2 linked regions of the Arabidopsis thaliana genome follow. The protein of the gene in region 1 interacts with the protein of each later gene in a pairwise test. Each region holds a gene or a part of one and is shown on either strand. Other genes may lie near its edges.

The links.
Region 2: the proteins of BZIP27 (region 1) and TFL1 interact in a two-hybrid assay, tested with the Arabidopsis thaliana proteins (one study listed by BioGRID).

The regions. Positions count from the first base shown.
Region 1 is NC_003071.7:7,721,006-7,724,824, forward strand, and holds BZIP27 (basic region/leucine zipper motif 27), read left to right. Parts: upstream 1-1,819; 5' UTR 1,820-1,980; coding exon 1,981-2,568; 3' UTR 2,569-2,642; coding exon of another isoform or gene 2,643-2,720; intron 2,721-2,874; coding exon of another isoform or gene 2,875-2,946; 3' UTR 2,947-3,286; downstream 3,287-3,819. UniProt on the Arabidopsis thaliana protein: Transcription factor required for the transition to flowering promoted by FT.
Region 2 is NC_003076.8:1,023,670-1,027,378, reverse strand, and holds TFL1 (PEBP (phosphatidylethanolamine-binding protein) family protein), read left to right. Parts: upstream 1-1,506; 5' UTR 1,507-1,582; coding exon 1,583-1,792; intron 1,793-2,002; coding exon 2,003-2,064; intron 2,065-2,270; coding exon 2,271-2,311; intron 2,312-2,398; coding exon 2,399-2,619; 3' UTR 2,620-2,879; downstream 2,880-3,709. UniProt on the Arabidopsis thaliana protein: Controls inflorescence meristem identity and is required for maintenance of an indeterminate inflorescence. Prevents the expression of 'APETALA1' and 'LEAFY'. Also plays a role in the regulation of the time of flowering in the long-day flowering pathway.

The sequences.
Region 1 (3,819 bases):
TAACACAGACCTGACACTTGTTCTATCCATGGGAGCTTGCCACGTCAATCTCATTGTCTTTGGACTCGTAGACAAACATAACTTTTTTTTTTGGTCCGTAGACAAACATAACATGGGTGGGTTATTACTTTTTTTTTTTTTTGGACAAAAAGGTGGGTTATTACTTATTAATTTCGATTAAGAGATTTTCATGGTTTCGTATTCGATTTTATTTTTCTTCTACCGAATCAGAACGGGTACTTCTTTTTGGGTTCAGAAACAAATTCATGTTTGATTTGGCTGGGGTATTATTAGTGGTATCAAAGCTATATAGAAAATGATTTTTTTTTTTCGGGTGGTGATCCATACCCTTACTATCCAACTAATTCTCTCAAAAAGTGTATACTTCGGCTCGCCGAATTTTTTAATGAACCTAAAATATAAAACAACTTCGATTGGTTAAGGGTATTTCCAATAGTGATCTTTATATTTTTCTCTATTTACAGAGGTGACTTTATTTTAGAAACATTGTGCTCTAATGGTTGTTGGGTATGTTTCTCATTGGGTCTTTTATAAAATAACTAAGCTTTAATTCCAACAATAGTTACCTCTAAAATAAAAGAAAAATAGAAATATCTACATTGTATCTCTATAAATAGAAATGTCTACAATTTATCTCTATTTTTCCTTTATTTTTTAAAAAACTCTATTTTAGAAGTGACCATTGGAGCACAATGCCTCTAAATATAATCATTTTTAAAATATAGAAAAATATAGAGGTAACCATTGGAAATGGTCTAAGTGAAAGTGATTTAGAAAGAAAATATTTTTTTTTATGCTAAGATATGGTGAAAATGCGAAATTGTTTAGATAAAAACATCATTTATGAAATGAGGAACATATAACATATCTGTTAGTCACAATTGAATAGTTTTCTCAATGATCTAAAACATAAAATAAATTAATCAGAAAAAGAATATGATGATGAGGAAATGTGATTATTTGTAAAATATATAAAATTTCATGACCCTGTTTTATTTTCTTTTTTTCAATTGTCCTTTGGCATTATAAGCCTCTCCATTCTGGGAACTTTGAAAAATCAATCACATCAGGCTCAGTTATCTTTTACTCAACCAATAAGTTGCTTTCCATTACCACTACCAATATTAATGTATAAAATAGATAAATATATACAGTTATATCTTTCATATTCATAATCACATGTTGTGACATTATTGTAATGACATAATACAAATATACACTTCTTTCTTCTTTTCAAAACCATATTTAACTCGAAATGAGGTCAAACTCAAATTATGATATGATATGGTGCTCATAAGTCATGGATCTAGTTTTTTATATACGTGTTTAAGTGGTTGTAGTGCATTAATCTATTTGATCGGATTTGAAGATAGATTAGAGATATATTATGTAAGCAAAACTATTAGAAAAGTTGAAAATATATAATTACAAAAAGGTAAAAACAAACAGAAAAGTTGGTAAAAATTAAAGCAAAGATCACACACACTTGAAAGCGATTTAAAGGGTCTATTGAATTGTTGTGATATTAAAGTGAGACCAAAACCATAGCTTATTGGTTACCTTTTCAAAACAAAGAATCTCTTTACCCACCAACTCCAGATTTAAGTATCATGCATTCATGCTAATTGGTAAATAATTCCTTCTGTAACATAAAAATGATTATCTTAGGAGAAAAAGTTTGACGTCACATAAGTCATAACTATAGATTTATCACTATCAAATTTTGGATTAAGTGACAAAAAGTCATTACATTAACATATTTTGATTTTGTTTTTTTTCTTTCTAGAACAATTACATCTCTGTTTCTTCTACTACTGGACCCAACCATCATGATACTAGAAATGACCATTGAGAGACAAGAAGTTCACAATCTTTCTCTCTCTGTCTCAAAGCTATAAGACATTTGACATCCCAAAACCAAAAAACAAAGCATTCTATGCTATTCTGTTCTGTTCTCCAATGTTGTCATCAGCAAAGCATAATAAGATCAACAACCATAGTGCCTTTTCAATTTCCTCTTCATCATCATCATTATCAACATCATCCTCCCTAGGCCATAACAAATCTCAAGTCACCATGGAAGAAGTATGGAAAGAAATCAACCTTGGTTCACTTCACTACCATCGGCAACTAAACATTGGTCATGAACCAATGTTAAAGAACCAAAACCCTAATAACTCCATCTTTCAAGATTTCCTCAACATGCCTCTGAATCAACCACCACCACCACCACCACCACCTTCCTCTTCCACCATTGTCACTGCTCTCTATGGCTCTCTGCCTCTTCCGCCTCCTGCCACTGTCCTCAGCTTAAACTCCGGTGTTGGATTCGAGTTTCTTGATACCACAGAAAATCTTCTTGCTTCTAACCCTCGCTCCTTTGAGGAATCTGCAAAGTTTGGTTGTCTTGGTAAGAAAAGAGGCCAAGATTCTGATGATACTAGAGGAGACAGAAGGTATAAGCGTATGATCAAGAACAGAGAATCTGCTGCTCGTTCAAGGGCTAGGAAGCAGGAATGTGTCTCTCCTCACTCTTCTACTTTCTAATTCCTCTAAATCAACAGAATCTCGTATTAAATCAACAATTCCTCTGTACTAAAATTGGTCCATGGATCTTTCAGGCATATACAAACGAACTTGAGCTTGAAATTGCTCACTTGCAGACAGAGAATGCAAGACTCAAGATACAACAAGAGCAGGTAAAACTAACACTGACTTCTTGCTTTAATGCCTTAGTCTAATTTTGTCTTGAGAAACTTGTGCATTACTTCTTGCAGTAACTTTTTCTTGTGAATGTAAGATTCTGCTACTTAAGGCCAATATTTTTATTTTTCTGTTTTTTGGAAAATACAGCTGAAAATAGCCGAAGCAACTCAAAACCAAGTAAAGAAAACACTACAACGGTCTTCCACAGCTCCATTTTGAGAAAAATCTACTATTTCTTTTTGGGGGAGTTTCAAGTGTTTCTTATGAAGATGAGAAAAACAGAAAAAGTTTGTACATTTTAGCTAAGTTAAATTTGTGGTGGTAAGTAATGTAAAAGAAAAGTGTGTGTAGAAGAAAAGTGTCTAGAAAAAGAAAGCAACTAACTTTCTTCTTCTTCTCTGGTTTCCTATCAACTCTTTTGACTTTTGTACTTTTTTTCTTCTCTACTTAACCTCTATTATTGTAATGCCAAGTCAAGTCCTTATCTAGCTAGTACATGAGTTTCTGTTTTCACTGGTTAAGCCATTACTGCACTGTATTGTCAGATGATATAAGTCTTCATAATGATGCTAAGAAGATTTTTTCTTGGTTGACTTCTTTTTGTGTATGCTTTATTAGCAACCAGAAACAACAGAGAAACAGAATAAATACCTAAGAGCAAATTTGGTAGCATCTAATGTTTTAATAAAAGTTGGGCCATGAATATGCTCACATTATAAAGTTGGCTTTATTAGTAACCAGAAACAACAGAGAAACAAAATAAACACCTAAGAGCAAATTTGGTAACATCTAATGTATAAATAAAAGTTGGGCAATGAATTTGCTGACTTCCTTCTTGTAGCAACTTTAAAGATGCTACAAATGCTTGCTTCATTCTGATCCAATAATATTTGTTCTTCTGATGCATCCACCTTCTTCCTCAAACATTTGGAACCAATCTAAAGGAATAATTAACAACAATATGATAGAGATGACATGTTATTCAGTGTAAATTTCTTAACTTTATTTAGCAGGCAGCACATAAAAAATGGGAAAGAATCAGCTAATCTTGATCCTCTATTTGACGAAAATAAAATCTTCAAAATACCAAAA
Region 2 (3,709 bases), on another chromosome or scaffold:
ATTCAATAGGACAAAACCTTTGGGTGTGTTTATATTAGTCTACGGATTTTCTGATTTGTATAACACTTTTGGTATTTCAGATTAATAGAGTATTATGGTTGAAATATGCATTCGTAAAATCTTCGGAAGTTTTAAGGTTTTGTAACTAATAATCATATATAGAATCCCAATTTGAAGAATCGGTTCTTCACGTTGGTTTTATTGATTCGATAAAAAGAAGTTTTTTTAAGAATCAATGCGACAATGCGTTGTCGTTCCACGAGCAAGGAGTCCCAAATCTGCGATATGTTTCTTTCAAATAGCCTCTGAGCTAGGCCTGGGCATTCAGTTTCGGTTCGGTTGCGCATGGTTTCGGTTATTTCGGTTATAGTAATATAAGAACCATTTGGATATTTGAGGAATTTTGGTTCGGTTCGGTTCGGATATCTTTCGGTTCGGTTCGGTTTGGATATTAAACTTGGTAACCATAAATAAACTAAAACCGAAATAACCGACTAAAAACCGAAACAACCAAAAAATTTGACCAATAACCGATATAGAACGTACGTAAAAAAGAGAAATATTCACAACTCACAAAGATGGTCCATACTCTCCATAATATTAAAACACCTGATTCACAACTCACGAAATTCAACTTGCAAACTAATAAAGAGAAAAACATAGTTAAGTGTCAATACATACTGTGATATATTATCTATCATACATATATGCTTTGGTTTTCATTTGGTTATCGGTTATTAACCTAACCGAAACCGAAACCGAAATCTAAGACATATAATATTCAACCGGTTATTTTAAGCTATCCAAACCTGAACCGAACCATGTTTTTCGGTTCGATTCGGTTCGGTTAATCGGTTAGCGGTTTTTTTGCCCAGGCCTACTCTGAGCAATAATTGTATCCGGAGTTGTAATAGAATCAAAGTACGATGAGAGTGTTTTTATGACAAATATCTTAATCTTGGCCAATTATATGTTCTACTGAAATTCTTTTTGAATTCATCGACCAGTGAGACTTAAAAATAGCTTTTTATTCGCCGAGGTATATATAGCTAGGAATTTTGTCGAAATTTAGACGTTAGTGGGTTTTGTTCTTCGTGACACAAAAGATATTCTATATATTAACGAAATCTAGCGATCGATATGGTATTTATATAAAGTCTTGGTCATAGATAGGGGTTGAAACTTGAAACCATGCATGATATGCCAATGTTGCTGAAGCAGTCAATGTTGCTGAAGAAGTCAAACGTAATTATATAGTGAATACCAAAAAAGTGATATTTCTTAATTCAATTAAATATAATTATAGTTTTAAATCACCTAAAATAAGTTACTTATTAAAACCCCCCAAATTTACTTTAATATAGTTGGTGTACATGTTTGAGAAAGCAAACAAAAAGAAAAAGAAAAAGAAAAAAAAAAGAGAAAGAGGTTAGTACACATAATTGGGAATTAATGTCTATTGATTCTTTTATCTTTCTCTCTCTCTCTAAGACGGAAAACCCCTATAAATAGATGTCTCGGTCGTCTCTTTGTCTCCCAAATCACTACAAATCTCTCTTTTCCTCTAAGTTAACAAAAGAAAATGGAGAATATGGGAACTAGAGTGATAGAGCCATTGATAATGGGGAGAGTGGTAGGAGATGTTCTTGATTTCTTCACTCCAACAACTAAGATGAATGTTAGTTATAACAAGAAGCAAGTCTCCAATGGCCATGAGCTCTTTCCTTCTTCTGTTTCCTCCAAGCCTAGGGTTGAGATCCATGGTGGTGATCTCAGATCCTTCTTCACTTTGGTAAATACATATATTTAAATTATTTTATAATAATGTTGGTTTTATTTATATTGTGCCAAAAAAAACCATATAAAACGTCTCACTTCCTTTTCCTCTTACAAGTTTTCCATTTCTAACTCAATAATCTTATAAATTGTAGCTTTAGTTTTTATCATTCCTTTTTCCAGTCTTTTTTTTTTAATGGTAAAACTCAACCGAAATGCAAAACAGGTGATGATAGACCCAGATGTTCCAGGTCCTAGTGACCCCTTTCTAAAAGAACACCTGCACTGGTACGTTTAATTTATTTATTCTTTCTTTTCATTTTGGGCCCATATTCCATATACATTGCATTTAAATCATTTCGTTATAACCCTAATAAAGTTTTTTTTGGGTGTAAGTTATATACATTTGAGTTGGTCAAAGATCTCCATCGCCATGAGTTCTCAGAACTTTTTCTGTAAAGTAATAATATTAGTATTGTTGAATGTTTCAATAGGATCGTTACAAACATTCCCGGCACAACAGATGCTACGTTTGGTAAGGCCTCTTCATGAATCTTGTAATTTAAATACTTATACATATATCATGTTATATAGAAATAAAAATATTTGCATTGTAATATAGGCAAAGAGGTGGTGAGCTATGAATTGCCAAGGCCAAGCATAGGGATACATAGGTTTGTGTTTGTTCTGTTCAGGCAGAAGCAAAGACGTGTTATCTTTCCTAATATCCCTTCGAGAGATCACTTCAACACTCGTAAATTTGCGGTCGAGTATGATCTTGGTCTCCCTGTCGCGGCCGTCTTCTTTAACGCACAAAGAGAAACCGCTGCACGCAAACGCTAGTTTCATGATTGTCATAAACTGCAAAAATGAAAGAAGAAAATTTGCATGTAATCTCATGTTTATTTGTGTTCTGAATTTCCGTACTCTGAATAAAAACTGCCAAAGATGAGTTGAATCCGAAATATCAATTGAGTTTACAGAAGTATTGATAACGATCTGTCGATTATCAGAATAAAAACTAGATTAATTGCATATCATGTTTAGCATTGTAATACTACAAAAATAGTAAACTCTTGATTAATTAATAAAATCTAAGTTGCTGTAGTATATAAATCATTAAATCCTCATACATGGCTTGATAGGTCACATCACATGTAGTGAACCTTATTATATGATAAACGTGGAGATACGGAAAAGGATAGTTAAACGATGAAAACTTTTTTTAGTTCTGGTCAAAGTGACAAGACCTTGATGACCATCTAAAATATGATCCTCTCCTCTTCTTACTCGGCGATCATATTCATATCTATTTTCACGGCTGGTATTGTGACAAACAACCACCTTTTATTTTCAAAAAAAAATCTAATAGGCATATGTATATTTCTCTATAGGGACCCTTTCTCTATATATATATTTATTACATTCCAAAATTCAACGTCAAAAATATAGATTTATTGGGTATAAATCCCTCACTAGCGTAGACATGTCCGCGGTAAACAAAAAATGTCTCTGCCTACAAACTATATAATTCGAAACATATTAGATAGAAAAGTCAGTCTTCAATAAAATATTTATTATATGTATATATGAGGTATGAGATATAGTTTTTTGTCAAGAGTTTTAAGAAAAAATATCTATATTCAACCGAATAACCATTAAATAACAAGTCTTAATCATTAAAATGCTTACAATATTTTCATATTTTTACTTAAGATTTTACTTTTTGCTACCTTGCAAGTTGCAAAAGTATAATTAAGTAATTAACAGTCTAGTTTTTGACAACAAGAAGAAATTAGCATTCTACATTGATTCAGTGTTCAAATGGAGAAAAGTTTTTTTTAAATGGATTGGCCATTTTGGGTGTATAAAGAATATAGTACAGCCTGAATGATAGACCCATCTTTGAGAAATGAGAGATGCAAGTGGGAAA